6 linked regions of the Cricetulus griseus genome follow. The protein of the gene in region 1 interacts with the protein of each later gene in a pairwise test. Links are inferred from orthologs where the notes say so. Each region holds a gene or a part of one and is shown in the gene's direction. Other genes may lie near its edges.

Region 1 (5,650 bases):
AGGTACAACAAATACATCATAGTAAGAAACATCTTAATAATACATGAAGCTTAAGGAAAGAAGGCATCATGAGAACTCTGTACAATCTGTTCAAGTTTCTGTAAGCTTAAAATTGCTTCCAAAAGCCTAGAGCATAGCATGGTGGTGCATTCCTGGACACTTACCTCCTGGAAGGCTGAGGCAGAAGGAAAGTGTTTAAGTCCAGCCTGGACTACACAGTGAGAGCTTGCGTTAAAATAAAAAGTCCGGTGCAAAGAGAAGCCCCCCCCCCCCTTTTTTTGATGAGGGGTGGAATCTGCACTTTACTGTGGGTATAAGGATAAGGATTTAGAATGTAGTTAGGAATCATGCTGATTCAGTGAAATGGAAGTAGAAGGTTCTCCTCTTAGATCCATGGCCTCAGTAGCTCTGGGAAGCTGGGCAGGTTTCTAGTACCATGCATGACGCTAGAACAGTGGGAGATCCAATGAGGAAAACTCCAGGCATGGAAGGAAGTCAGCTCATAATAGAGGCCACATGTGTTATAGGCAGTAGAGCTGGGACCCATAGGGAGCCCAGAAAATTTCACCCATTGAATGTAGAGCTTCGAGATTTTGTGTCTGCTGTCCCGAATTTCAGTGTTGCTTTGGCATGATTTTCCCTTGCTATCTTATTCTCTTTGGAACACTACTGTATACTGGAAGTATATAATTTGATTTCTCATTTTACAGGGGCTTGTGATTAAGAAGTTTGTTTCACTTTTTTGGGGGTGGTGGTGGTGGGAACTGTGTATTTGCTATGTATCCCAGGCTGTCCTCAAATTTATGATCATTCTTCAAAGGTTTAGGATTACAGAGGTGCACCACCATAACCATATTTTTAATTATACTTTATGTCCATTAAAATCTGATTCAACTCTGAGTAATGTAAAGCAATAAATAAATAAAATTAAAAATTCACTTTAAGGTCGAATGTCACAAGCCACTTCAGAGAACTAGTCATTGGTTACATAAAAAATGAAACTGTTTTTTAATATTATACTCTATTTACTCCAAATAATTTAACTAAGTTCTCTCATCCATTTTCCAAACTTCACACCCTTTTGGCACTTACTAGTAAGTTCCTTTCACTATCTTTGTCCATCATGACTTTGGTGGTCATCATGACTTTATTCTCTCTCTCTCTCTCTCTCTCTCTGTGTGTGTGTGTGTGTGGGTGTGGGTGTGGGTGTGTGTGTGTGCGTGCGCAGAAATTACTATTATTGATAACATTAGTGCTAATATTATTATTCCAGCATCCAAGAGTACAAAAGAGTACTTGGCACATAGTAAATACTCAGAGTACTAAGTAATGTAAATTAAAGTGACTTTAAAGCTCAATACTAAAGTGCCAGTGTTAAGTGGCCTGTAGTTCCAGTAACTAGGTAACTTGGCTAAGGTGGGAGGCAGGTGTTTCTCTCTCTCTCTCTCTCTCTCTCTCTCTCTCTCTCTCTCTCTCTCTCTCTCTCTCTCTCTCTCTCTCTCTCTCTCTCGGGAAATACTTGGTTCATTACCAGTTATATCAGTTCAGATAAAATTCCACGTTACCCCTAGAGTCCACAATAAACCATATCCTCTGCGTTCAGGTTTTTCTTTTAAATTCCGAGATTGAGCATTTTGAGCATGCACATAGTCTAGCATACACTCTCTGTAGTCCTGAAGTGAAAACAGAAACTGCCAAGAGCTTTAAAGCTTGTCTGAGGCGTTCTTTGGCCCGCTTGGAGGTCTCCCTCGGGCTCCCGTCGCAGCACCCTTCCTCGCGTCCCGCAAACCACATCCACTGAAGGGAACCGCAGTTTCTGCCCAGTGAAGATCGCCCGCGCACCCCACGTTTCCCCTCCTCTCGCCGCACAAGAGTTCGTCTGGACCGTAGTCCTCTACTCCCATGGAACGACCTGGGGCCACACTATTCCCCAGCTCCCCTCAGCACTCCCCGCGGCCCCAGCTCGCCGGAAGCCCCGCCCCAAGATCGCCAGCGGGCTCGCGCATGCCCGGTGCGCGCCGCGGCCGCAGCCGCAGCCTCGTCCCCGTGGGCCCGGCGGCGCGCCCGGCCTTGTCCGCCCCGCCCCGCCCCCTTCGGTCACTCAGGGGCGCGCGCGTAGCGGGCGCGCGGCGATTGGCTCCCTCGGTGGCAGCGCCCCAGGCCGGAGAAACTGCGTGAGCGGAGTGGGCGCCGAGGGGTCCCGCGGCTCCTCAGGTACCGGCGTGGACCCGGAGGGTTGGGGGAGGGGAGGGAAGCTCAGGGTGGGCTGTAGCCGGCTCGGGACTTCCGGCCGCGGTCCCCGGAGAGGCAGGAGGGCTGCGCGGGGTTGGCCCGGAGCGTGCGGGCCACCCTCGAGGGCCCGCGTCGCGGTGTTCTCAGGTGACACAGTGCTCCTTCTCCTCGGGTTTCAGCACAGCCTTAAAAGTTAAGAGGCTGAACATGGATTCAAAAGTGTGGGTTTTTATCCCTGCTAAATCTTGGCAAGAGTTCGGGTTTCAGTCCCCGCTGGAGGACTGAAGCGATTTATAGTTCTCACCCTTGAAAGTGCGAGCAAAACTCCAGTGTTGCTCAACACGCGCGGAGCCGGCTGTAGTAGGATGCGAATGGAAGCAAACTCTGGTTTCAAGAGCCGGCTTTTCTAACTGGAGGATGATACCACCCAATGGTATTGGTGAAGTATTTGAAGCTCTATGGAAGGACCTGGGTAAACTTCAAATATCGCAGGATAGACGAGGGTGATAAAAAAAGAAAACACCTTTTCTATAAGAACAGGTCTTTGGGTGGACTCCTTCGAGCATTTTTATGTGAGTCAGTTCCCAATGGTCCTGGACAGAGCTAGGGAAGGATTGCTTTAACCTACGAGTTTCACAAGTAACTCGCTTTGCAAAGTGTGTTCTGTCTGCAAAGGATCTCACCCAAAACAACAGTTGCATAGTAATCATTCCATAGGCTGGCATCCTGTGCGTATTTGCCAGAAATTGCCTCCATCAGATTGTTCTATAGGCATGTCTGTGGACATTTTCTTGATTAATTTGATTATTGATTGGTTTGGGAGGGCCCAGATCACTTTGGGTGGTATGGCCTTTGGGCAGATGGTCCTCAGTTGTATAAGAAAGGAAGCAATGCAAACCATGGAGAGCAAGCCAGTAAGCAGGATTACTCCCTGGTCTGTGCTTCAGTTCCTGCTTCCAGGTTCCAGTCTTGAGTTCCTTTGGGAGGTTCCTTGGGTGGTGGAAAGCCCCCCACCCACTTTCAGAAACAAAACTATATTACATCCTATGTTAGTATGCCAGTAAAATTAGGCTTGCTTTTTAAAAGTAAGATAATATGAATTGTTTCATTAGATAAAAGTAAGGATGGCAAAAAAATATGAATAGGAGATAGACACATTTTTTTCTTCAAAGACAGAGTATGAAATAAAATCTTTGTGTGATAACTTTAAAATGTTTAAGTCATGTGTAAAACTCATTGTATTTTCATGCTGTATACTCTTTTATCTAGTACCAAGATCAAAAAAAGAACATGATAAGGGACAGAGGAAATCGATCATCGGGTTAAGAGCGCAGGCCCTGGCTTGATTCCCAGCATCTACATGGTGCACCAAGCATCTATAACTGTAGTCCCAAGAAATCTGATGCCTTCTGCCCTCTTAGCATGCTTGTATGCACTGTGTATGCTTGCCGTGCCAAGACATACATGTAGTCAAAATACCAACATACATAAAATAGAAGGTTACATTTTTTTTTTAAAACAGCATAATAGTATTTACATCCCAGAAAAACCCACTGGTGCCCTCTTTCTAATAGTAATCATTGGATTTGAGTTTACTTACATAGGAATCCAAGGGACTGAAACCATTACAGCCTAATGGCCCCCTGGTTAATTATTTTGGCTGAGTACTTGGACTGGATTTGTGCTGTGGGCTGTAGTTTGCCAACCCCTGCTGAATTAAAAAATGACTGCTCAGTACCAGTACAGCTTTTCCCTGTCTATTATCTCAGTTAGCATATACAGCGGACACCTTATGTTTTTAGGTGGTGAATTTAATACATATTAGAAGTATGTTGAGGCAACATTTAGGGATAGTCAAGCAGTGTGATAATGAAAACTTCTTTGATTGTTAAGCAAACACAGATTTAAGATAGGCCATGCCTTCTGACACAATACATTGAGTTTATATACACACTTTTAAAATAAATTCTAATGGGATATTTGTTTGTTAGCCAACAATAAGTAACAAATGCACTACTTACTAAATTCAGAAAAAAATTAGTGAAAGAAATGGCTCTTTGTGAGCATTTAAAGAACAGGACTACATTTTAGTTCTCTCTCTCTCTCTTTAAAAAAAAAAATTTAAACAGGGCCTCCTGTCTTCTAGGCAGGCCTCAAACTAGCTAAGTAGTTGAGGATGTCCTTAGGTTTTGAGTCTGATGTTTCTGACTCTGGAGAGTTGTATGCTGGTGTTACAGATGTGCACTACATGCCTGGAGTGTTTTGTTGTTGTTGCTCTTGCTGGCCCTGAACTCTTGGCTTCAAACCATCTTCCTGCCTTAGCCTACCAAGTAGCTGAGACTACAGCTATGGGCCGCTTCACTTAACTCGTTTACTTTAATATGTTTGGGAATAATTAATTTTATGTCCTGAGATACTAAATTTAATCATAGCTATATACCCCATTTTTTTCTTGGGTTATGGTTTTTGTTATTGTTTTGTTTTTTTAGCTCTAATCTGGCAACATAAATTACTACTTTAAAGGGGTGGCTCATTTGTTGCTTCACTCAAATGGGTGACTAATGGGACAAATTTGCCATAGAACTGTTTTTTGGTAGTTAATTAGAGCAACCCTGGTTCTGATTTTGCTAAAATTGAAAGTATTCTTTTGAATTTTTTCTATTTTGAATATATGCAGGTAGGTGGTATATTCTTGTAAGTTTAGTTTTGCATTAGATGACTTGTATATACACATTGAGATTGATTTCATTATGCTTGGATTTATAAATTTTACAGGGTTCATTTCCTTGCAGTCTATAACTTGAATGTTATTGTTTCTTTCTGAAACATGACAATATCTCTTCTTTGATTTCTTTTTTTGACAGTCTCTATTTAGTCCTTGACTGTCTTGCAAGTTGCTCTGTAGATCAGGCTGGCCTTGAACTCAGAGACCTCCTCCTGCCTGTGCTTTCCAAGTGCTGGGATCAAAGGCATGTACCATTACACAGGGTTTCTTTGTAGTTTTATCTTAAGGATTTTGCTAATGAATTTTTAAAAATAAGAAATTGATAGTACTTAAAAAAACTTTATTGTGAAATATAATGTATATAGAGATAAATAATATAAAACATATGGACATTTTTGAGCAAATGAATAATCATTAAAACTTGTTACTAATTTGTGTGTATGGCCATTTACAAAGCATGTCTGTACATTAATATAGATTCATCAGTGGATGGATTGTTTTATATGTGTCTTACTAATGCTATTGCTCAATCTCTTTCATTAATGATTTGTGTATGTATGAATCTCTGTGTTTTAGTAGTGATAATAGCTGACCATTTGCTATATGTTAAAGCTCCTTTTGTAATAATGGAGTCTGTTTCTCCCTGGACACCCACTCACCCACCCCTATTTTTTGAGTTCACAGTACTCAAAG
Region 2 (4,878 bases), on another chromosome or scaffold:
TTTGAGGCAGGTCTCATGTAGCCGAGACTGGCCTCATACTCACTATGAAGCCAAGGACAACCTTGGACTTCTGATCCACTGCCGCCTTCTGGGTGCTGAGATTGCAGATTGTGTTACCGCTCCTGGCTTACATGGTGTTGGGATTAGATCCCAGACTTCCTGTGGATTAGACTAGCACTGTATCCATGCCTAACCCATGGTGTCCTCAGTGCATCGGAGTTGTTTCAGCTTGCTTTGTTCACTTCCGTAGTCTCTGGAGCACAGTTCTCATTTCTCGCTTGGTTTTTAGTTCACCAAGACTTGTTGGTGTTCTACAGCCTCTGGGCACATTTACACTTGTGCGTGCGTGCGAGTGTTCGTATGTGTACACCAGAGGTGAATTTTGAGACAAAGGTTTTCAGTGAACCTAGAGCTTGTGGATTTGGTTAGTCAAATACCGTGGTACATTCCTTTAATCCTAGCACTTGGGGGGTGGGCACTGAGGCAGATCAATCTCTGAGTTTGAAGCTAGCCTGGTCTACATAGGACCAGAAAAGCCAGTACTACACAGTGAGACTCTGTCACACTTGCACTGTTTAAAAACTATTGTCACTGACAGTGGTGAAATTAACAAAAGTTTGAAACTATGTGTCTTTTTCAGTCTCCCAGAGTATTTGGAAGGCATGATAATATCCCTCACAATTGATCTTTGCTATTTTGGCTTCTCCTACAGAATTCTAGATTGAGCAACTGTGGTTTCCTGTTTTCTTGGGCGTTGATGGGCACTGTAACATTCCGAATATGTGGTGCTTTTGTTCCCCAGAACTGGTCTGTTCCTCAAGAACCTTGCTTTAGGTGCAGGTGCAAAGGGAATTCCTGGCCACAGATGTCCTGTAAGATCTGCTCAGAGGAGCTAAGACTGGGCTCAAACCAACACTGAGCACCTTGTCACCAAGTAGCTAGCTGCTTGAAGTCTATGGGCTCAGGACTGACTTTCAACTTGTGACAACTGTGCCTTGCTTTTCCAGACAGGATCTTACTGTGTGGCCCTCCCTGGCTTGGTGGCCAGGCCATTTGCGCTAGGATTGAAGGCTTTTGTTTTTTTAGGTTTGGGTTTTTTTTTTCATTGGTTTGGTTTTTCTTGGAACTAGGGAATTAACCTAGAGCCCCAAGCATGTCTATATAAATGCTTCTCTACCAATGAACTGCATCCTAGCCCTCAATTAGCTGCAACTGTGGAAGGATCATTGAAATTCCTGTGGACCTCCAAGAAGTGACATTCAAGATATTTGAACTCAACTTTAACTATCCCTTTTTTTCTTCCATCCAGTAAAGATAGCAGTATTGATGATTTTATATCTGATGGTCTGAAATCGTGGCACATAAACACAGAACTACACTGGATGCATAAAAGAGCCACACAGCCACTACCATGCTGTCCTACATTCCAAACTGAAGCAGACATGTGACCTTTGTTTGCTTGCTTTTTAGATAGGTCTTGCTGTATATCCTGGCTGGCTGGTCTGGAACTCATTGTGTAGGCCAGGCTAGCCTTGAAATTGTGTTAAGCCTCTTCCAGCCTATGCCTCCTGCATCCTGGGACCACATCGCGTGTGGCCCATAACTCTCTTTCCTTATTGATCTTTTCTGGAGGTATCTTTATGCAGCCACCTCCTCTAGGGGTCATCACCTCTAACCTGGGATCAGCGTTGCTTTGTTTTCAGTTTTTCCTGTTTCTGTAAATATATCTAGTATGTTAAATACATTCTTTTGTGTTCTTCCGAGGGTTCCTTTTGCTCAGTGTCACATTTGTAAGTTATCTGCCATGCCATGTTGTGGCAGCTGACTGACTGGTTTATTCATTTTTCTATTTGTGACTGTAGTATAGCTTACTCACCCCTCCAAATGTTGCCAGGCTTTGGGATGCTCACAATGCTCAGTTATTACAGACAATACTGCCTTGAGCATTCTTGTACCTGTCCTCTCCTGGTCCATGCCTAAACATGTCAGTCATAGAAGAAGCATATTTCAGTCGCTGAGTCTGTCATCATAGTTTTCAGTGGTGCCTTTAAATCCATACATCTTAATAGAAATTTGCAGTGTTTGCGCTCATCTGAAAAGGTTTGTGTCTCCTATAGAGAAATGCAAGGATGGCAGCAGAAAAGCGCTATTCTAACACTCTAGAAGCTCTAGGACTGTCTGAGGAGTTTGTTTCAGAGAAAGGCCAAGGTGGAAAGGCGCCTGAGAGCTTCACCAGAGAAGAGCTGAGAAGCCGCACATCGGATAAAGAAAGGTAGCAGCTGCAGGGAAGCATGCTCTGCGCTTTCCTGTTGTTTTAAAACCATTTACTTGAGGGAGTGCATGTGAACCTGTGAAATATTCTAGTGTTTCCCCATGTTTGACACACTATAAATGTTACACAGTGATAAAACATTTGCCGGGCGGTGGTGGCGCACGCCTTTAATCCCAACACTTGGGAGGCAGAGGCAGGCGGATCTCTGTGAGTTCGAGACCAGCCTGGTCTACAAGAGCTAGTTCCAGGACAGCCTCCAAAGCCACAGAGAAACCCTGTCTTGAAAAACCAAAAAAAAAAAAAAAAAAAAAAAAAAAAAGAAAAAAAAAAAAGAACAAAAAACATTTTGTTCTTACATCAAGCTTATATTTCTGATATATATATATATATATATATGTATGTATACACATATGTGTGTGTATATATGTATGTACTATGTATATGGTTATAGTTGGGGGAGCTGCTTTAGATTGAAATATGAGGACTCACCAGTCAGTGGCACAGACCTTTAATCTCAGCACTGGGGAGGCAGAGGCAGGTGGATCTCTGTGAGTTTGAGGCCAGCCTGGTCTACAAAGCCAATTCCAGGTCAGCCAGGGCTACACAAAGAAAGCCTGTCTCCAAAACCCAAAGAAAGAAAGAAATAGGAGTCAAGTTTCAAGATAAATTGGTTGTCAGGGAATACTTAATTCCCCACGGGTGCTTCCATAGTTCTCCTAGTAGCTGTCGGAGCGTGTGGCCTGGAGGAGCACCACCTACATGGTGGCATGGTCACACAGAGCCATGTGCATGTACATTGACAGATTAATAACATTTCTTCCTTTAGCTCTTATGAAGAAGAAGGAGAGAATGAGGAAGAAAACTATTTTATTGATGCCAACAGCCAGGATTCTTGCAAGGAAAACACTGAAGAGGTTAAAGAAGGTAGAGAAGAAAATTCTGAAGAATGAACCTGAATTGCAAGGTTTCCTCTCACTGAGCCTCTCTGTGTGCAGCCTCAGGACTGCAGCCCTGCACTGTGGTGACCAGAGCATGTGTGGGGACAACTCTCACACATGCAGGGCTGCTGGACCGGAACATCATGTTGGAAAAGGCTGAATCCACATAATGGGTGATCTGATTGCTAAAGTACAGCTTTACCCTATGTGTGCTGTTTATGATAATGATTATTTTGTATTTTCAAAGTGTTTTGGGGGTTGGAGAACCACAGCTGTCATAAATGGATTAGTTCTGATAATGTACACTTATATTTGGTAGGGAAAAGAGTTTGGTATGGAGAGAACTATTAGCTTTTGAAGATCTATTTTTAATTTAATAAGTATTTTCAACTTTTCTCTGAAACATTTTTAAAATAAGTAATATACAGAAAAAATAGGTACTTGGAAATTTACAATTTTTCCACTTAAAATTTACTGCTAAATTATCTATAGTATGGCTACTTTTTTTTTTAACCTTTTTTTTTTTTTTTTTTTTTTTTTTTTTGGTGGAGATTAAATCCAGGGCTCACACATACTTGCATGAATTCTACCATTGCGCTATATCCCTAATCCCCCAAATTATTTTTGATAGCTAAAGTGTTAAAATACTTTACACTACTCTAAAAATCCTACGTATTATTGCATCTAGAGTAATTATGGCATTTGTGCATGGTAATCTTTTTGCTTGTTTGGTTGTTTTTGTTTTTTTTTGTTTGTTTGTTTTTGTTTTATTTTGTTTTGTTTTTTTGAGGCAAGGTTTCTCTGTGTAGACCTGGCTGTCCTGGAACTCACCACCGGTCCACCTGCTTCTCTCTCCTGAGAGCTGGGATTAAAGATGTGCACCACCACTACTCATTTTGTGTGGTAATCTTAATTAAAAGATACAAGTCCTTGTTCTAAACATGCTGAAATTGTGATCCTAACTTGCCAAAGGAAAATCCTAAAAGTAATTCAAGTTTAATCTTTATTGCTAACTTACTTGTACCTTCCTTTGTATGCTGTGTTACAAACTTACTGTCTCTGTTAAGATTTAATTTGATCTTGAGTCATCTTTCACTCTTTAAGCACATTTTTTTTTTTGAAAATTCAAACTAATCTTTAATTGTGCTACAGGGTAAGACATCGCCTGTCTAACAATCGGCTTTACAAAGAACTAATAACAAAGGCGGGTGACAGCGTCTCCCAGCCACTTCTCTGTGCTTAGCAAGGTGTGCACTCAGCTGGGGTTCAGGTTAAATTACTTGCCACTCTTATTAGATTGCTATGTCCTTTAGAGGTGGCATCATTTGAAAAGTGTCACATTTGTAATGCCATTAGCTGTTAATGCAGGCTTGTACATATGGCAGACGCCTTAATGCAGATTTGAATGAGTGGATGAATGGCTTTCAATTATAGTTACAGTTACTTCCGAGTGTGTACAAATGGGTTTAGAAACATTTCCAACTTTCCGAGGACTTGTAAAACAATCCACAAATTGTTATATTTAGAATGTTACTTCCACTCTCCTTTTCTCAACTTCATGGAGAGAGTGTGGTTTGAGACATTAAAGGCATTGGAACCAGTCTCCAGTTTTCTTGTCTGTTGAAATGGAGATAGTACCTCTTTGGTGTAGAAATCTGTTACAGTCTG
Region 3 (5,384 bases), on another chromosome or scaffold:
ATAGTCCTCTTAGAACTCCCCAGTCAGTGCTGTGCACTGACTACCCTGGTGAACAATGCTGCTTTCTTTGGGGCTGAAACTGGTCTCATTGGAAAAAGGTTAGGTACTCCCTGTGGGAACTTCTCTGGTGCCTCAAGTGTGTGGTGATTCTAGCCCTGGGTTTTGCCAGAGTGAGACAGAAAGCAACCTGGAACCCTGGGGTAAGATTGAAGAGAAAACCTTTAGACAGGGCCAATGAGATGATTCAGCAGGTAAGGATGCTTGCTGTTTAAGCCCGACAATCTGAGTTTGATCTCTGGAGCCCATGCAAAGGTGAGAAAATAGATTCTAGAAAGCTGTCCTCTTACTCCCACCTGCATGCTGTGACATGCCTCCCTCCCCCAATAAAAAGTAATTAAAAAAAGAAAAAAACAGAGAAAAATCTATCTTCAGGGTAAATGTAGACAAATGGAACTCTCATTGAAGAAGAGGTTAAGAGGAGCTATCTAGAGAAATACAGTACAGAGCAGATAGTGTGTCTCACCTTGTCCCACAAAGACTGTAGTTCTTCTTGTCCACCTAAGTCCCAGAACATGAGACGAGCCTTCCCCACGTCCACAGTGCCAACTGGGGAGAGGATAGAATGAGCTAGCTCCTGACCTTACTCTTTACAAAGTCCCAGCTCTTCCTGGAATGAGGAAAACCATTCTGGTACCAATCCCAGCAGGCATGCACAGAGAGGGATCTGGCCCCTGGCCAGCTGGGCTACGTACGGGCTTGCATCTCTAAGGGACCCAAGCTCATATCCCCCTTACTGTTTAGGCCCACGGTAGTGGTGATTTTGGATAGACTCATCCCTTTGTAGTTCTTGTTAAACCGTGTTTTTGATTGTTCCAAGAAGGTCTGAGGAAAGAAAGAAAGGTGGTTAGGTAGTGGCAGCTAAAGCAGTTTCCTGGTGTCTTTTCTAAATATCCCTCCACATCCATATGCTTTGGGCAAATTCAGGCTTTCACACCCACATGGTTTGGGCAACTTCAGGCCTTCACACCCATACACACATGCACACGAACCTCTGCCTGTTGAATGCTCTTCGGGAGGCTGGTGGCAACTAACCTGTAGTCTTGGGTAGGGATTAGATTTGCAAAGAACATAAGGCAGGGAAAGGGAATTGGTGAGAGAACAGGCACCTACTGTCTTCCCGGCATTGTCCAGGCCTAGGATCAGGATGCAGTATTCATCCTTCTGGAACATGTACTTGTACAGCCCCGAAAGCAGCGTGTACATCCTGCCCTGGCACCCTGAGAAATGTCAAGGTGTGTACCAGGGCTATCGGCCTCCTGTCCGCTTCATCAGTGGTCCGTCGGTCCTGCTAGTTTTCAAATGTGGAGCCTCGTGGCTCGCGACTCCTTGCCCCCCTCTCCCCAGCCCCCGATTCCGGACCCTGCCTCCACCACCGACCACCCGCTAAACCTGGGCCACTACTCCCACTGCGGGTCATCTTTGTGAATACACCATCAGTCCTGAAAAACCCATGGCGGCCTACCCTGCTCCGCCCTCCTAAGGCTTCTTTTCCGGACCCTCAACTCAGCACTGGGAACTTCGACTGTCGTAGCTACCAGAGAGTCAGCTTCTGAGTGGGCCGCCTTTGGATCCCCCCCCGCTGCCGGGCCCACGGAGCCAAAGAACCAGCTGCCGAAGCCGCTTCCCTGCCCCCTACCCCAGGATTCTGGAACCCCGGCCCCTCAGTCCGGCGGAGACCCACCTGCACCTGCTCAGATCTCGGAGCCGCAGACGCCGTCGTCGCGTCGCAAACCCCACCGACCTCGCGTTGACCCCGCGCGGTGCCTGTCGGGACACCGACCGGCCGACTGAGTACGAGAGGGCGGAGCCGCATCCCGACGGCCCCCGCGCGCCCCATCCCGGAGGCTCCCGAACGCGGGCACTTCCGGCAGCATCAGCTCTCGGGCGGAAGTGCCCGCGGCGGGCGGAAGGCTAGCGCGAGGGCTCTGCTGGCGAGGCCGGAAGCCCTTGTAGGCTGCGAGCACCGGCGGGAGGCGGGGCTGCGGACCGCAGAGGACGCGGTGGGATACTTTGCGGTTCCCTTGGCAGCGCCGAGGTCCTCCTCAGCCTCTCCAGCGGCCGGGGAGGGGGCGGCGTTGTCCTGAGCTCTGCCGACTGCTCTTCCCTCAGGTCTCGTCTGCTTTAGCGGTTCCGAAACTAGCCTGCGCGGTGTAGCGATGGACGAGGACAACCTGGAGACGGCCCTGCAGACCTACCGGGCCCAGCTCGGGCAGGTAGAGCTGGCTCTTGGTGCTGGCCTGGACGCTTCCGAGCTTGCGGACCTGCGCCAGCTGCAGGGCGATCTGAAGGAACTGATAGAGCTCACCGAGGCCAGCCTGTTGTCGGTCAGGAAGAGCAAGCTGCTGGCTACAGTGGACCTGGAGCACCAGGCAGAGGAGGACGCTGAGTACTTGGCTTTCCAGAAGGCTGTGGCGGAGGAAGGGGAGGCACCCGTCGCCCCCGTGGATGACTCGGAGACTGTCCCTGGGAGCGTGGTGCGGCCTGGACCCACCTCCCCTGCACAGGAGGAAGACGAGGAGGATCCAGATCAGGAGGAGCTGAGCGGTGCTAAAGTGAATGCCCCTTACCACAGCGCTTGGGGCACGCTAGAGTATCACAACGCAATGGTTGTGGGCACTGAAGAGGCAGAGGATGGTTCGGCATGCGTTCGCGTACTCTACCTGTACCCTACCCACAAGTCCCTGAAGCCCTGCCCGTTCTTCCTGGAGGGAAAATGCCGCTTCAAGGAGAACTGCAGGTAAAGCCCTCTGCTACTAGCAATAAGGGTCACTCGAGCAGGACCACTGCTGTGGCCTGCCGCCTTCACAACTTGTTCTCCACCCCGCAGAATTGATAAAAGAGAAGGGGGAGCTTCAGGTGGCTGACAGGCTTTAACAGGAACATTCCCTGTTAAGTAAACACATAAGTAAACACATTATATTCATTCTCTCTCTCTCTCTCTCTCTCTCTCTCTCTCTCTCTCTCTCTCTCTCTCTCTCTCTCTCTCTCTCCACCTCCCACCCTCCCTCCCTCTTTTTTTGGATACAGAGTTTCACTGTGTAGCCCTGTCTGTCCTGGAGCTCGCTCTGTAGATCAGTCTGGCCTTGAACTCAGAGATCTACCTGCTCTGCCTCCCAGGTGCTTGGGACTAAAGGCGTGTGTCACCACTTCTAGCTAAGATTTATTTTTGTGTGTATTTGTGTGGGTATGTGAACATGAGTACAGGTGCCAGAAGGTGTTGCATGTTCTACAGCTGGAGTTCCAGGTGCTTATGAGCCACCCAACATAGATCCTGGAAAACAAACTCAGGTCCTCTGCAAGAGCAGTATGCTCTCAACCACCAAGCCATTTCTCTAGCTCTATATACTTACTTTTCTTTTTAATTGTGTGTATGTGTGTGTGTTTGTGAATACATGTGTACTTGAGTACAGGTGCATGAGGAGGCTAAAAGAAGGTGTTGGATCTCCTGAAGCAGGAGCTTCAGGACTACTGGTAGTGAACTACTTGGGTCTTCCTCAAAAACATTACACATACTCTTAACCACTGAGCCATCTCTCCAACCTCCAGAGACCACCTATATTCCTTGGTTTGTGGTTCTCTTACATCACTTTAAGCTCTTACTTCCATGGTTACATCTGTACTCTGCACATTTTATTTCTTTACTTTTTCTTTAACATGGGATCTCATGTAGCTTTAAGCTGGCCTTGAAATCCATATATAGCCAAGGATGACTTTAAATTCTTCATCTTTCTGCTTCTACCTCCCTAGGGCCAGGATTACAAGCATGTGCTACCTAGCTTGGCTCTGCACATCTTTTTTAGATCCTAGTAGACTTGACATGTTCCTTGCTCACTCTCTTTCCTTCTCATGCCTATAGGTGCATAAATGATCAGTGTGCTCAGTGGGTTTTCTCCAAGAATACACATGTTGCTATAACCAGTGGCTGCTTTATCTGCCATAGTCTTTTTGTGGGAAGCCCTGTGATGAGAGATTTAATACCTCTAAGTACTTTCTCTGACTGACATATGCTCACTTCTCTGTGCACGAACCTATGGGTAGGCCCTGAACTCATCCCATTTTATATAATTTTTGTTTTATTTTATTTTGTATGTATATATGCATGTGCCATGGTGCTCATGTGTAGGTCAAAAGACAGCTTTTGAGTGTAGGCTCCTTCAACCATGTGGGCCCTGGGGATTGAATTCAGGTCATCAAGCTTGGCAGAAGGTACCTTTACTTGTCAAACCATTTGTCAGTCCCCACCCCACTTTATAGATGGAGAGACAGACACCAAAGCACTAAGTGATCGGTACAATGTTGCTGGCCGTGAGACCACTTCATCACAAGGAGCTGCTTGTGGTATCAATTTTAGGGCAGAACTAAAAGACAATAAAACATCTAACACCATCTTTACAACCATCCAGGATGAATGAGTTGTTTTCTTGAATTTGCTTTAGATTTTTTTTGTTTTGTTTTGTTTTGTTTTTGTTTTTCGAGACAGGGTTTCTCTATGTAGCTTTGGAGCCTATCCTGGCACTTGCTCTAGAGACCAGGCTGACCTCGAGCTCACAGAGATCCACCTGCCTCTGCCTCCTGAGTGCTGGGATTAAAGGCGTGCACCACCAATGCCCAGCTTGCTTTAGATTCTTAAAAATAAATTTAACTAACTCCACCTGCATTACCATAACTTTGGTGTATGTCTTTCCAGTGTATAATCTTCCCTGTAGACACTTGTATTTGGGCAACAGCATCTCAATAGTTAGTTGATTATTTTCCCACATTTGCTAATACTAATCTCCATCTTCCTCCTCTCTTCTACAAAACAAGTGAGAAGTGTCCCTAGCAAGTGGGAATAAAATGCAGACGTTGGACCTACCCTGAAGTGGCACAGGTGGACTTATTTACTATGTGTTGTAAAATAAATTCAGATATAGGAACTATAGTATAGAGAACTGTTATAAAGTGAACTGTAGCTGTCAAACTCAGATCACAGCTGTTATTTGCCAGCCACCCCAGATTCCCTAACAAGCATCAACTCAGGTAGATTTTTTTTTTTTTTTTGCCTTTTATTTAAGCCCCAAACAATCTCTCTCCAACAGACAAAACAACTTTTTTTGTGTGTGGGGGGGTAGGGGGTGGGAGTTGTTGGTGTTTGGCTTTTTGTTGTTTTGTTTTTGTTTTTTGAGCCAGAGTTTCTCTGTAGCCCTGATGTCCAGGAACTCACTTTGTAGACCTGGCCTCAAACTCAGAGATCATTTCTGCCTCCCAATGCTGGGATTCAAAACTTTTTATAACAAGTGCTTCTTGTGTTTCTGTAGCTTATGTCTCAAGTGTCACCGTGATGT
Region 4 (4,878 bases), on another chromosome or scaffold:
GGCCAGTGATTAGCTTCCTCGCTGGCTGATTTTGCAGCCTGCTCTCTTCTATTCCTGGGTCTCAGTCAACACAGTCTCCAGTTTTGCTGAGTTCCTGACTCCCCTGGGTAAAACTGATAGTCTCTAGTGCAAATATCAAATCTAAGTTTAGCATATACATTATGATTATTCTTACTTTTGGCAGACATGAGCCACACAAAAAAAAATAATAATTCAAGACTGGGTAGTAGACATCACAGTTTGTGCTTAACAAACAGGTTTTTAAAATGAATTTTTGCAACAGTACCTGTAGTGTCACAGAACCTGAGAAGCCCAAGCAAAAATATCAAAAGCTCACTGTTCTCCCTGGCCACCTCCTGTGCTGGGAGCAGGGGGAAAGATAAGAAAGGATAATGAAGGAAGCAAGCCCTGGGATGCCCCACATCTGGCCTATAATCACAGTTACCCCCTGACCACCTTTCAAGGTCTTGTTTCTGTTTCTCAGTCTAGAGAGTGTTATCAGAAGATCGGAGAGATAAACCCCAAGCTTCAGACACAGGTGAAAGGTGAGACTGTCCCTGCTGCTACAATCCCTCTAAATCCAGTTTTCCTTTGCACTCCACTGGGGTGCCCTCCCTACTTTCTCTGCCCTGGTCAAGACCACAGCCTTGCCTTTCCTGCACTGCCCAGCCCTCCCTATGCTCATCCTCCATCTGTTTCCATATTTAGACTGCTCCATGTCTTTTCTTGCATGCCATCCTCCCATAGACTTGCAGACTGCCCCAAATTTCCAGGATGTCTTAAGACGTGGTTTAGATTTTACTTTGCTCCTAAACGACTTCTTCCTGAAGAAGAGTCTGAATTATTTTCTTGCTTTATACTTCCCATCCTTGCAAGGAAGAAAGGAAGGAATGTGTAAGGGCAGGGAGATGTGGAAGGTGGGTGGCTTTTGTATGGTTCTTTCCATTGTTAGGCTGTTGCTTCATTTCGCTTTTTCCTGCTTGTTTTGCTAGAATCCCTAAATCAAGTAACTCTTCAAGAAAAGGCAGATCTACAAGAGAAGGAAGCTCGAGAGTCCCTGGATTCAGGAAAGAACACAGCAATGACAACTAAAAATCTCCTGGAGACCCTCTCCAAGCCTGACCAGACACCCTTGTTCTATGCAGGAGGCATTGAGATCCTGACAGAAATGATGACGGACTGTAAGTCAGACATGTGTGTGGTCTCATGAGCATTGTCCGTGTGAAGTCACGGGTTCAGGAATCTGGCTCCATGGGACAAAGATCCCCTCCCTTCTATAGATATCAAATGAAAATCTACACTAATATAGGTGCCCAAGAGGGTATGGAAGAAATATACTTCCCCTGTACCCCATCCTCTTCAGAGAATGCATTAACTCATGCGATGAACACCACACACATGGCATAAGATAGCACACATGGTGTACAACAGCTCCATGTGTGCTTATATTACATGTACCACACACACACACACACACACACACACACACACACACACACACACACACACACACGGCATGTGTTTATTTACATTTATGCAAATATATACATTAAGTAAATCCGTGTACTTACTCTATAAACTTCCCTCACATGTGTTCCACACATCTTGCTTCCATCCCCACATCCACTCTAACATCCTAGACCTTGCACACACCCTACACCACGTAGAAACAGAAGAAATGTCTATGATAAACTATAGGGATCACCCCAGCTGCACTTTACAGTGTCTTGGAACATGAAAATAGCTTCGGAGGAAATATCTGTCACTCTGTTATCGGTTCCTGTAAACACTGATGGCAGAACTTAAAACAACTTTGGTTGCTCAGTGACAGGATGTCATTTGTACAAATGGATGGAGGCTCTGGTCCCCCATTAGTATGGAACAGAGGTAGCCCAGATGGCCCCGTTGGCCGCTTTCTTAGAAAATGTAAGTTCTTCTCCAGAGCCCAATAATAGCTTCAATATAAACATGGAGAATCAGATGGCTCTCCAATACTTTCCAGGGATCAAACAGCTCCTGTAAGCTCTCGAAAGCTTGCAGAGGAATGAACTGAGATACTGACATTTTCTAAGCAGTCTCTCTGATGGTGACATATCCAGTGGCTGGTAGCAATTGCATTTCTCAGAGTGTGATGATCTAGCTAGATTTTTGATGATCTTGCCCTTTCATACTAGGATCTGGTGATCAGCTAGATGCCAACCTGTGGGTTAGGATCCTGACTCAGTTCTTGTGTTTTTTTTTTTTGTTTTGTTTTGTTTTTTTTTTTCAGGCACAGAACGGACCTTGTTCAGAACATATGGTGGATTCAGCACCATCAGTGACCACGAGGTCATAAGAAAGTAAGGATATTTGGAAAGAGCCAGATGTCTACAAGAAAAGACAGAGAGTTGTGTGTGTGTGAAAGCAGTTACTGGCCACAGAGGGAAGGCCTTTGGACTCTGTGTCCTTGCTCCTCAGTCATCAGGGTAACCCCTGAAAGAGCGTATGTGAACCCCCTTGAGATCAGAGCCTCTGGCCTTTTGCATCATGTTGCAGCTGACAGAGTGAGCCTGTCCCACAGGCCATCTCCATATGTCCCAGACAGACAAACACCACTCCTACTGGTTCCCCACCAGCATTTTTAAATTTTAGTTTGTTCTTTTTCTCATTTTACTGGCCATTTAAAAAAGTAGAAGCAACTGGGTCCTGGCTGGCTCCATTTAGAATTTTATCTAAAACAAGGCCTACATGGAAGGGGGTGGTGTGCTGTGTTTATTTCATATTGTGCTTGGATAATCCAGGAGGTTTGGGATCCTGACATGGGTTGGATGTTTGCATGTCCGCTCATCACGATGGCCCTTGGCTGTCCACCCTCTTCTGTGTACCCACCTCTGTGTTTTTACTTTGCATTTGATCTGGAATTTTGGAATCAGTGATGGGTAGCTCCTTAGTGGTGGTTACCTATGGATAAGACATATCTTCCTTCCTTCCTTCCTTTCTCTCTTTCCTTCTTTCCTTTTCTTTCTTTTCTTTCTTTTGAGAGATCTCACTGTGTATCCCTGACTGGCCACTCTCTATGTAGACCACCCTGGCTTTGAACTCACAGAGACCCACCTGCCTCTGCCTAATGGGTGGTGGAATTAAAGGTGTGTACCACCGTGTCCAGTTTGGATATGCATTTTAAAATTTCTCTTAACTCTTCATTTGCTGAGTCTGGGGGTGGAACCCAGTGCAAAGAAAACAAGATTGATCCCCAGATTCTGCACTGCTCAACCTGTCTTCTCCAGGTGCCTCTTCTCAGCAGGGATGGATGCAGTTGAAGAGGTTCTCTGTGTGGCTGTTTTGAAGCTCTGGCAAGCAGTGTGTAGTGACAATGGTAAGCCTGGTTCTTCACTGTCCATTGTCAGTTGTGTTCCCCAGAAGAAAGAGCTGCATGGCTCAGCATGGTAGTTCTCCTGAGTGGTCAGGCATGGAAGGACTGGTGTCTGAATTCCATGCCTTTTCCTCCCCAAAAGTATGTGGAAAAAAAAAAAAAAAAAAAAAAAAAAAAAAAAAAAAAAAAAAAAAAAAAGCAACTTCAAGTTCTATATTGAATTCATTCCCCAGCCCAAACCTTATCCTCCTCTTCCTGTTCCCCCTCCTCCTATTTCTTCTCCTCTTCCTATTCATCTTTCTCCTTCTTCTCATTGTCCTCCCTTGCCTCAGGACACGGGGGTAGAGAGTGGGCAAGATCACTGTCAGCATAATGAGTGCTCCCCCCACATACCCATGCCTCTCCCTTCCTCTCCCTTCTCTGCAGACTCATGACTTCTGCTCATGTCATGAGCAATGGAGACAGTTTCCTTTTCTGTCTGTTTGAAAATACTTTGGTTTTGCTGACCATTGCACCCCTGGCAGATGACTAGCAGCCAGCATCTTTGGACACTGATTAGCGTCTGTTACTGAAATAGAAAAGTGCCAGAGGGATTTTGTTTTGTCAATTCTTACCTTTCTTCATACAGCATCCTCCAGAGATCATTAAGTTCTTGCACAATCTTTCTTAGTCACCTTTATGGCTTCTGTGTGTATCAAGATTTTAAGTTTTCCCTGTCATCTCAAAGAAATGTATTTCACAGGAATATGTTTGCTCTTGGGACAGGAAACACTAGAAATGAGGACAATCACAGGGTGGGGCATGCAAGGAGTATGAGGAAGTCATCTCCTTTCCTTTAGTAGGCTGAAGGACTGAGAACTTGAAGTAGGCTGTAGGAAACAGGCCTATCAGGAAGCTCAGTTACTGGAAGCGAGCAATCGGTACAGCCAAGCATCTCAGTTTGTCTCAGAAACCAGATTAACAACAACAGAAAAACAAAAATAGGTGTGGTGGCATGCCAGTAATGTGGAGACAGGTAGATCCCCAGGGCTTGAAGGACAGCCACCCTGGTCTATTTGATGATTTCCAGGTCAGTAAGTCCCTAATTAAAAAAAAAAGGAGGAGGAGGAGGAGGAGGAGGAGGAGGAGGAAGACAAGGGGAAGGAGAAGAAAAGTAGAGCCTTGAATGATATCTGAGGATGACATGTGAGGTGTCCTCTGGCTTCCATCCATATGCACACACACATACATACACACACACACACGTACATACACACACACACACACACATACACACACACACACACACACACACACACACACACACACACACACGTACATACACACACAAACATCCTTGCTCAGGGCTGTGTCTGCCAAGATTCCTAAAGGAAGGTAACAAAGGAAGAACTTGGTGGCTGTGTTTTCTCTATGAATCAAGCATAATAACCCAGATATTTTTGTTTCTGTGAGCCTTGGAATTATGCTGTTTTAATATCTGAAAAATATTGTCACCCACATATTCTGTGTTTCCGGCTCATGAAATC
Region 5 (4,878 bases), about 140 Mb from region 1:
AGTGATGAATTTGGTGTTTGCACCACAAAGAAGCAGCTTTGGCGTGCAGCTCCGCCATAGTCTTTATCAGTTGGCAGGGAAAGCAGACACATGGATGTCCTAGGCTTTAGGTCCTGTCAGGGTTAGACTTGTTTGAAGGCTTGGTTCATTCACAATCGGGGAGGACAGCGAAGGGGGCTCAGGATATGAGAGTCATATCCCCTGCCTCTGAACAGGCTCGTCTTGATGTCTCTAGGAAGTTCCTAGTCTCTCTTACAAGCAGATTGAAACAAAGAATGTGACCATGCTTCTCTTGCTTTCTTTGGTTTTCCCATTTCTGAGGCTATTTATTCCATGTTCAGAAGGTGGAGATAGAGGTTAAAAGAAAACCATGATGAGTACAAACACTGAGATTAGCTGGCACTTTGTGATGGTTGCACTTAGGAAGTACAGGTGAGAGAGTTCCAGGCCAGCCTCAGCTACATAATGAGTTTGAGGCCAGCCTAGTTCCGTGAGATCCTGTGTGCTGGGGGTCAAGATTAAAGAGAATCAGTTGGGCCAGTGAGATGGCTCAGGAAGTAAAGGCTGCTTCACCAACTCTGATCACTTCAGTTCAATCCCCAAGGCCCACGTGGGAGAAAGAGATCAACACTCAAGTTGTTTGCTGACCTCTACATACATGCCACAAAGCACATGAGAGAGAGAGAAAGACAATGTAGTCTAAAAATTGTTTGTAAAAGGTCAGATATTGTGACTAACACCAGCACTTGGAAGGCAGGTACATTTCTCTAAGATGAGGCCACCCTGGCTGGGTGGTGGTGGCACACGCCTTTAATCCCAATACTTGGGAGGCAGAAGCAGGCAGATCTCTGAGTTTGAGGCCAACCTGGTTTACAAAGGTACATAGAGAAACCCTGTCTCAAAAAACAAACAAACAAAAGAAAGATGAAGCCACCTGGCCTACACCACAAATTCCAGGCCAACCAGGGTTACAAAGTGATATTCTGTCCCATGAAAATAAATAATAACTATTAAAGGTTGGGCCAGGCATCACGTTGCAGTCTTTAGTACTGGCACAGGCAGGTGGTTCTCTACAAGTTTGAGGCCAGCCTGATCTACTAGCGAGTTCCAGGACAGCCAGGGCAGACCTTGTCTTGAAATAATAAACAAAAGAGCTACATAGTGAAACCCTGTCTCAATATATATATATATATATATTTTTTTCCCAAAAAATACAAATTTTTGTTACCATTATCTTAAACTCAGCATTAGGAATTCAGTAACGTTATCACAAAAACCCTTTGGCTCTAGGGTAGCTTCCTGTGCTTGGTTTGTGCTCTTATTTTCACCCCAGGCATCTAGCCATCTCCCTTTGGAGCCATTAGCAGCACAGCTCCGCTGGCTGCTTCATGCCCCTCCCTCTCTCACAGGTACACAATAAAAGGCATCAGGAACCTGATATTCTATGAACTGCCAACCTACCCTCACTTCTACAGCGAGGTCTGCAATATGCTGAGTGCCGCGAGGAGAGGAGAGGAGGCCACATGGACCTGCACTGTGCTCTATTCCAAATACGATGCCCAGAGGCTTGCCTCTGTGGTCGGTGTCGAGCGGGCAGCACAGATGCTGCAGTCTCCAAAGAACGTCCACCTTTTCATCACCGGAGAGAGATGAGAAAGTGAGGAGCAGGACAGGCGGCGTCATTGGTCAATATGGTCGATAGGCCACGCAGACCTGATTCTCATCACTTCCCTAGGAGCAAACTCTGCACAGACACAGGCAGTCCCCTGGAAAGTACATTACAACCAGTGTCAGTGACCACAGCTGCCAAAGCCTAGAGCAATCTGCACGGGCTGTCACATTCAGAAATGAAGCCTGTGCTTGTCAAACCTGTAAGCTGTAAGTTCTCCAGTTACTCTTCATAACTTTTTACACGGGGAAGATTCTCTGGCTGGCCTATCCATTTTCTTAAAGCATTGGTTGTGTTGTTTGTGAGGTTTGCCAAGATAGTTGGAGACGACTTGGCACATGTCTTGTGGAACTTTGCTTTTGCAGCCAAACTAAAAAAAAAAAAAATTATAAACACTCTAACCTAAAAGAGTACATTCATTCACGGATCTTTTTAAATTCCTCACAGTGTTTTAATGGCTAACACATTTACAGTCAAGTTATAAAGCAACATTTAGTTGTACAGTTGATGCTTGTTCTCGGCACCACTGTCTCTTTAGCTGGTTTTTGAGTCGTGTAGCAGATGAAAGTGAAAAGAAAATCATGCTTTGAAACATTAAACACCATTATTTTAGACTTTGTTATAAAAACAAACACTATTGCAAACAGAACCATCAGGGACGACCATTGCTTCAGGTGACAGAGTTGTGAGACCGAGTCTGAGTTGCTGGGAAGTTGACTGCCGACCTCATGGGTGTGCTCGTGTGAGCGAGTCTTGTTCTCAGCATGGCTTCAAGTGAGCAGACTGTCTGACTCCGCTGCAGCCTTACCACTTGTCCTAGCCTTTGTTCTGGCCCCCTTCCAGATTGCTCAGGAAGACCTGACCTTGAAGTCTTAAATCTTCCTTCCTTGACCTCCCAAGTGCCACTACAAGTTTGGCTGTTTGTTGTCATCAAGAGTGTTGGTTGAGAGTTTTGTTTGTCTTGTGGTTTTGATTGATTGGTTGGTTGGTTGATTGATTTGCAGTGCTTGGGAATCAAACAAGTCCCAGCCTTTCGATTTTTGAGAAAGGATCTTGCTATGAAACTTAGGGCAGCCTTGGCTTTGACAAGTAGCCCAGGCTGGCCTCAACTCATAACCCTACTGCCTCTGCCTCTTTAGTGAGGATTAACAGACCCAGCAGCTCTGCAGCTGAGTGCTGGGTTAGCTGGCTGACCCTTCCTGCCAGCCCCAGGCTCTGCCATCAGAGCTTGGGAATGTTTGCTGAATGTGGGTATGTGGGTGCATATGTGAGCACACAAACACTGAATATTACTTCTTACCCACACGTTAGAAACTGAGTTTAAATTAGTATTTCTATTTACAGTGTATGCTGCAGGGTTCTTTCTGACCCCCTTTCTCAGTGATTCCCCCTTGTTCTTGGAGACAAGCCACAATTGGTATATATTCTCTTATACTCATACATAAAGTACATTTCTTAAAGCAGTAGTGTCTTGGCAGATAAAAGCACTTGGGCTTTAAGTGCCTGAGGACCAGAGAGAGTTTTTTAAAAAAAGATTTAAGTGATATAATTTGGGGCAGCTGTTATGCAAAAATAGGCATTTTGACTTCTCAGCATGGTAAGCAAAGCCAGTTATTCCAGATTGAATTCTAAATTCCAGGATATATAAATGATAGATAAAAGCCAACTAATCCCAAGCAAACACACACTTCTGGATGCACAGATCTGCCCTGTGGTTATTGGCATCTGTGTGCCACTGTTTGCCGCATTCACCATTTATTATGAGAAGGGAAATGAGTTTGTTGCTTTGTTGAAAACCATGATTCCTCAGGTCTGTTTCCACACAGTACAGTTCTTGTGAACAGCTCACAGGACGAATTGCAACTGCCTAAGAGTGCATGGCCTGCAGAGAGTTGGTGAGTTTAATGTAAGAGATGACATTACAGCAAGGGGGCGTGGCCCTCAGACAGCAGCCTCGTGATGCACACTAGAACCTACCGTGCACATCACGTGTTGTCTGCTCACTCTTGCCCATGATATCCTCAAATTTGTGATCCTCCTGCCTCAGCCTCCTGGCTAGAGATGTCTCCTGCTCCTAGTAGGGAGGTCTTATAGTTCTTAGGCTGGCTTCTTTGCAGCCCAGAGTCTGGAGTGATCCCAGGCCCAGGAAGGCAGGGACTTACCCAGAAAGTGAGACTTTTAGACTCCACACAGCGGTCACAGCTACTGTGGCACTTTTCTTTTTGAGGGAAAAGGCTTTGAATCGTGACCGCTGCTCACAGCTGGCTGCACTATGTGCAGCATTGGAAACAAGAACAAGCTAATCACAGAGTGCCTGCAGCAGAGAATCAGCCCTCTGCCAGCTTCCAGAGGGCTGGTAATTGAGTGCAGATGGCCCAGGCAGGATGGGGGGTGCATGTCGCTGGTGACTCATACATACCTCAGAGGACCAAGGTGGTTCCAGAAGCTTTGATCCCTGATTGTGCCCTTGTGGAGTGAGGAGACAGGATGCTGAGAGGTGTCGCCTATGCTTGCTGACTGCCTTCTGCTGGGCCTTCCTGGGATCTGTCTTCAGACAGCCCAAGTTTAGGTTTGATGTGCCCAGGGTCTCAAGATGGCAAAAGACCTAGGGAAAGACAGCAGGACTGGGACGTTCTTTACAGCCATCCCAAGAGTCTGGATGTGTGAGCTGTAGATGAGTGTGAGGTGCTGGGCGTTTCCGGAAAGAATACTTTGGAAGCCATGCTTTTCAGGGTACATCCCCCAGGGTCCAAGGCCTCTAGCCTTCCTGCCCCGCCCCCTCCTTTGTGTTTAATGTCCCCTATGCCTCTGGCCACACTGCTGCCATTCCTATGAGACTTAGGACCATGTAAGAGAACAGAACTCAGTCTCAGAAGTGGATGGCGCCCTGTACTGTGGAGGCTCTGAATGCCACAAGCTCAACCTGGCTGTCCCCTAGCAACCTGCTAGCCTGCTCTCCCAGAGGCCCACAGTTCAGGGGTGCCCTGACAGCCTTTGCGCATTTGGCTATGACCATTCGGGCACATGGCCTCAGCCCACATGTGGCAGGAAGGCTGTCTGCTGATGTCTGACTGGGGAGCTGTTCACGAGCAGCCCATCTGCTTTCCCAGCTGAGCAAGGCCAACTAGAGCATCCAGCCATCTCCATCCTCACTGAACTCTTCCTCTCCCCAGCGGGTCATGCAGGGTGAGTTTTCCTGGCCTCACAGC
Region 6 (4,621 bases), on another chromosome or scaffold:
TGTGGGGCACGGATAGTCAGCCGACCAGAGGAGCTGAGAGAAGATGATGTTGGTACAGGTGCAGGCCTATTGGAAATCAAGAAGATTGGAGATGAGTACTTCACTTTCATCACTGAGTGCAAAGACCCAAAGGCCTGCACCATTCTTCTTAGAGGAGCCAGCAAGGAGATTCTGTCGGTGAGTGAGCCTTGGTGTGTGTGAGCAAGGAAAGGACATTGTTCCATACTCGTATTGTGAGCTTTTCGTCACAGTAGCAAGCTTAATATGTCAACTTTAAAAGAAAAAAAAAATGTTGGGGGCTGGAGAGATGCCTCAGAGGTTAAGAGCACTAACTGCTCTTCCAGAGGACCTGGGTTCAATTCCCAGCAACCACATGGTGGCTCACAACCATCTGTAATGAGATCTGGTGCCCTCTTCTGGCCTGCAGGGATAAATGCAGACAGAATACTGTATACATAATAAATAAATCTTAAGAACGAAAGAAAAAATGTTTTAGCAGTTTTTTGTTTTTTGTTTTTGTTTTGTTTTGTTTTGTTTTTTATTTCAATCCATGATCCTTGGCCTGTGGCTACATGTCTGTGAATGTGTGAAGGTGCAGAACCACTCCCTTGATGGTGAGGTTAAGAGAACATTAGGTAGGTACAGTTCAGGCCCTAGCACCTCATAAACCAGGCATGGTGGCGGATCAGAAGGATGACTCGCTCCTTCTACATACAGAGTATGAGGCCAGCCTCATCTTTTTTTGTTTGTTTTTGTTTTGTGTTTTATTTTTCAAGAAGGGCTTCTCTGTATAACAGCTCTAGCTATCCTGGAACTCTGTAGACCAGATTGTGTAGTGAGAACCTGTCTCAAATAAGACAAAATGAGCTGGAGAGAGGCTCGGGGGTTGAGACCACTTAGAGAGCAACAGGGTGTTGTCTGGCTTCCAAGGGCACCAAACGGATAAACTCATATGGACACACACAAAAAATAAGCAAATCTTAGAAATAAAAGAACAAAATTAATGACAAATGGCTGTAGTGATACGTTCCTTTCATTACAGCACTCAGGAAACAGAAACATGTGGATCTCTGTGGGTTTGTTCAAGGTCTACTTACTGAATTCTATGATAGCAAGGGCAACATAGGCCCTGTCAGCAAACAAAAAATTGCTACTTCATGGATCTGTGACCATAAATTCCTACCCTTACCACTAGGGGTTGTCTCTTAGCTGGCCTTGAACTTGCTGTGTAGCTAAGGATGCCTGACTTTCTGGCCCTCCAGCTTTCCTTTTGGTGAAAGGATTATAGGCCTGTTTTGCCACATTGTTTATATCATACTAAGGGTGCTTTATACCTGGTAAACTAGCATTCTACCAACTGAGCTACATTCCTAGTGCTTGAGAGAAGGATGGGAGGGGGAGGAGAGAGAAACGAGAGCACGAGCATGTCAGGATCTCCTTTTGTAGCTCAGTGTGGACTCATACTTGTGGCAACCCTGCCTTGGCCTCCATAGTACTATTAACAGAAGTGAGACAAACTCAGCATTAGTGCTCTTCTCTCCCTTTCTTCTGTGTTATATACTTGGGCATATTTCATGGCACTAGTATAGAAGTAGAGGACAATTTGTGGGTGTTCTCTCCCTCTATCTACCATATGGGCCCAGGAATCAAACTTAGGTGGTCAGGCTTGTTGGCAAGACCCGTGAGCCACAAAGGCATGTCTGTAGCCCCCTCCCCACCTTTAATTATTAAGTTGAAATTACAACCCATGCCTACTCCCAGGAGGAGTGGCTTTCCCAAGATACATAGCTGGTAAGCACTAGACAGTTTGCAGTGCACCGTTGAATCTCCTAAAGGACAAAACTAGGGAGAGGGGGATGGGATACAATTTGTTGTCACTCTGGTTCAGTACATAAAAACCCAACCTCATAGTTGAGATGTTCCATCCCCTAATCCTCTTGCAGGCCCTCTTCTGTCATTTACATTTCTGAGTTATGACTCATGAGAACAAAACTTCTTCTCTTTCTCTTACCCTTTTTTGGGTTTTAGTGACAGGGTTTCTCTGTGTAACTTTGTAGACCAGGCTGGCCTCGAACTCACAGATCTGTCTGCCTCCTAAGTGCTGGAATTAAAGGCGTCCACCACCACCACCACCTGACCCCAATAGAAGTCACAAGGATTTTCCTAGTTGCCTTCCTCTGTGGCTCTCTAAAAACTTGTCAGCTGGGCAGTGGTGGCGCACACCATTAATCCCAACACTCAGGAGGCAGAAGCAGACAGATCTGTGAGTTCAAGGCCAGCCTGATCGACACGGCAGGTGCCAGGACAGTCTCCAAAACTGCACAGAGAAACCCTGTCTCAAAAAATAAAAAACAACTTGTCACTCGGGAAATTGTTTGATGCCTCTTGGTTTCTCCATGACTCATTGAACCAACTATACCATTTCTCTGCTTCCCCTAGGAAGTAGAACGCAACCTCCAGGATGCCATGCAAGTGTGCCGAAACGTTCTCCTGGACCCTCAGTTGGTGCCTGGTGGTGGAGCCTCGGAGATGGCTGTGGCCCATGCCTTGACAGAAAAATCTAAGGCCATGACTGGTGTGGAACAATGGCCATATAGAGCTGTGGCCCAAGCTTTAGAGGTCATCCCTCGTACCTTGATCCAGAACTGTGGGGCGAGTACCATTCGTCTGCTTACCTCCCTTCGGGTGAGTTCTTTTCTATGTTCATGCTTTGCCAAGGTAAGGCAAGCTGTGTTTGGCATAAGGAGATGTTTTTGTTTTCTGCCACTCTGTGTATGCTTATAAGCACATGTGTTTGTACTCAACGTGGGTGTGGGTTGTGTGGGGGCCATCTTTGAGTCTTTGCCTTGTTTGCTGGTCTGAAACTGGCTTGCTTCATTGTACTTTCCTTGCATGTTTGTTCACCTGCAGGCCAAGCACACCCAGGAGAATTGTGAGACCTGGGGTGTGAATGGTGAGACTGGTACCTTGGTGGACATGAAAGAGCTGGGAATATGGGAGCCGTTGGCTGTGAAGCTACAAACATACAAAACAGCAGTGGAGGTAAGACACCCTAAGTGTGCGGATGCTGTCTGTCCTGACAACACGGCTACTGTGCTTTGTCTGAAAGGGAGAGGCCATTAAAGGCCCCAAAGATCTCCCAAGGAATTCCATTTCCCTACTTACCTTTAGTTTACCTAAAACAGTATACAAGGCACAAGCTACATCCCTTGCTTAGGGAGGACTGCTTTGTTCATTCAAGACTCTGAAAGGGAAGATTCCAGATAAAATGGTAATTCTGCGGGAGGAGCTACTGCTAGAAGAAAACAGTGTCTTTCCTTTCTCTGCTGACCTCTTTGGGCTGTTTTTCTCTTAGACTGCAGTTCTACTTCTGCGGATTGATGACATTGTCTCTGGCCACAAGAAGAAAGGTGATGACCAGAGCCGGCAAAGCAGTGCTCCAGATGGTGGCCAGGAGTGAGTGGTGAGCAAGGTGACTTCAACGTGCAGAACCAGCAGTCTCCCCTTTCCTGAGCCAGAGTTCCAGGAACACTGTGGACATCTTTGTTTGCAAAGGATCAAGTTGAGGGGCAGCCCCAGTCTGTCCCATCTCAGTTTGCAAAAAGCACTGACATGTATCTCTTCTCTATTGTAAGCTTTCCATTTAGTTTGCTTCCAATGATTAAATCTAAGTCATTTGAGACAGTTGTCATGTGTTTTTTTGTTTTTTTTTTTCAATCTTGAGGCACATCTCTACCTCCTAGCAATGCAAGAGGAGGCAGAAGAAAACCTTACTGGGAGCAAAGGAGACAAATTGGGATCACTTTTTTTCTTTTCTTTCTTTCTTTTTTTTTTTTTTTTTTTTTTTTTTTGTGGGGTGGGGAGATGTTGCTTGGGTTTTTTTGAGACAGGGTTTCTCTGTGTAACAGACCTGGGTGTCCTGGAACTCACGCTGTAAACCAGACTGGCCTTGAACTCACAAATCTGCCTACCTGTGTCTCTCAAGTGCTGGGATCAAAAACATGAGCCACCACTGCCTGGCTGAGTGTGTTTTCCTAAGCATATGTGCCTTGAGGCTTGCCTCCCAGTTCATTCCAAATCCTGTAAGGTTGATTATCCACACTAACCATCACAGCTACAGAGCAAGTATGAGACCAGCCTGTGCTGCACTTGTCTCTGAGACAAAATCTGCTTAGCCAGTAAGATTACCATAGTGGGTGGAAGGAGAGAAGTGGTTCCCAGAAGTCGTCCATTGACCTCCAGGTCCACCTGCATTCACAGACAGCACACTAATTTAAAAGTCCCAGCATTCAGGAAGGTGAGACAGAATGTTGTGGAATATTCCTTAACACTGTGAAGATGTATCACTGATTAGTTTAATGAAGAGCTGGATGGGCCAATAGCTAGGCAGGAAGAAATTGGTGGTGGGGTTAGTGCTTCTGGGGACAGAGGTCTCAGAAGAAGACTGGATCATGAGCCAAATGCAGAAAAAGCAATATGAGCAACATGGAGAAATGAGCCACACAACAGAATGTAGATTAAAATGAATGGGTTAATTTAAATTACAGGAGTGGGACAAGCCTAAAGTAAGGCCAAGCTTTCATAATAAGTTTCCTTGTCTTTATTTGGGAGCTAGTGGTAC

Evidence for each region.
Region 2: the proteins of Mipol1 (region 1) and Fam161a interact in binary tests that used the Homo sapiens proteins (3 or more experiments, as listed by UniProt). The two-hybrid records come from large-scale screens. The link is inferred for Cricetulus griseus from reciprocal best matches to the Homo sapiens genes MIPOL1 and FAM161A.
Region 3: the proteins of Mipol1 (region 1) and Zgpat interact in binary tests that used the Homo sapiens proteins (3 or more experiments, as listed by UniProt). The two-hybrid records come from large-scale screens. The link is inferred for Cricetulus griseus from reciprocal best matches to the Homo sapiens genes MIPOL1 and ZGPAT.
Region 4: the proteins of Mipol1 (region 1) and Ttc12 interact in binary tests that used the Homo sapiens proteins (3 or more experiments, as listed by UniProt). The two-hybrid records come from large-scale screens. The link is inferred for Cricetulus griseus from reciprocal best matches to the Homo sapiens genes MIPOL1 and TTC12.
Region 5: the proteins of Mipol1 (region 1) and Utp25 interact in binary tests that used the Homo sapiens proteins (3 or more experiments, as listed by UniProt). The link is inferred for Cricetulus griseus from reciprocal best matches to the Homo sapiens genes MIPOL1 and UTP25.
Region 6: the proteins of Mipol1 (region 1) and Cct3 interact in binary tests that used the Homo sapiens proteins (3 or more experiments, as listed by UniProt). The two-hybrid records come from large-scale screens. The link is inferred for Cricetulus griseus from reciprocal best matches to the Homo sapiens genes MIPOL1 and CCT3.

The regions. Positions count from the first base shown.
Region 1 is NC_048598.1:145,200,084-145,205,733, reverse strand, and holds the start of Mipol1 (mirror-image polydactyly gene 1 protein), read left to right. Parts: upstream 1-2,045; 5' UTR 2,046-2,214; intron 2,215-5,650.
Region 2 is NW_023276807.1:83,736,807-83,741,684, reverse strand, and holds the end of Fam161a (protein FAM161A), read left to right. Parts: intron 1-2,117; coding exon 2,118-2,272; intron 2,273-3,098; coding exon 3,099-3,222; 3' UTR 3,223-4,813; downstream 4,814-4,878. UniProt on the Homo sapiens protein: Involved in ciliogenesis.
Region 3 is NC_048599.1:539,759-545,142, reverse strand, and holds the start of Zgpat (zinc finger CCCH-type with G patch domain-containing protein), read left to right. Parts: upstream 1-1,940; 5' UTR 1,941-2,216; coding exon 2,217-2,797; intron 2,798-5,384. Other genes in the region: Arfrp1 (ADP-ribosylation factor-related protein 1), read right to left, coding at 524-606, 795-882, 1,171-1,263. UniProt on the Homo sapiens protein: Transcription repressor that specifically binds the 5'-GGAG[GA]A[GA]A-3' consensus sequence. Represses transcription by recruiting the chromatin multiprotein complex NuRD to target promoters.
Region 4 is NC_048597.1:161,237,934-161,242,811, reverse strand, and holds part of Ttc12 (tetratricopeptide repeat protein 12), read left to right. Parts: intron 1-300; coding exon of another isoform or gene 301-358; intron 359-464; coding exon of another isoform or gene 465-484; coding exon 485-545; intron 546-992; coding exon 993-1,181; intron 1,182-2,269; coding exon 2,270-2,339; intron 2,340-3,266; coding exon 3,267-3,355; intron 3,356-4,878. UniProt on the Homo sapiens protein: Cytoplasmic protein that plays a role in the proper assembly of dynein arm complexes in motile cilia in both respiratory cells and sperm flagella.
Region 5 is NC_048598.1:2,116,463-2,121,340, forward strand, and holds part of Utp25 (digestive organ expansion factor homolog), read left to right. Parts: intron 1-1,409; coding exon 1,410-1,653; 3' UTR 1,654-4,878. UniProt on the Homo sapiens protein: Component of the ribosomal small subunit processome for the biogenesis of ribosomes, functions in pre-ribosomal RNA (pre-rRNA) processing. Essential for embryonic development in part through the regulation of p53 pathway.
Region 6 is NW_023276806.1:66,173,048-66,177,668, reverse strand, and holds the end of Cct3 (T-complex protein 1 subunit gamma), read left to right. Parts: coding exon 1-177; intron 178-2,439; coding exon 2,440-2,685; intron 2,686-2,910; coding exon 2,911-3,042; intron 3,043-3,355; coding exon 3,356-3,460; 3' UTR 3,461-3,680; downstream 3,681-4,621. UniProt on the Homo sapiens protein: Component of the chaperonin-containing T-complex (TRiC), a molecular chaperone complex that assists the folding of actin, tubulin and other proteins upon ATP hydrolysis.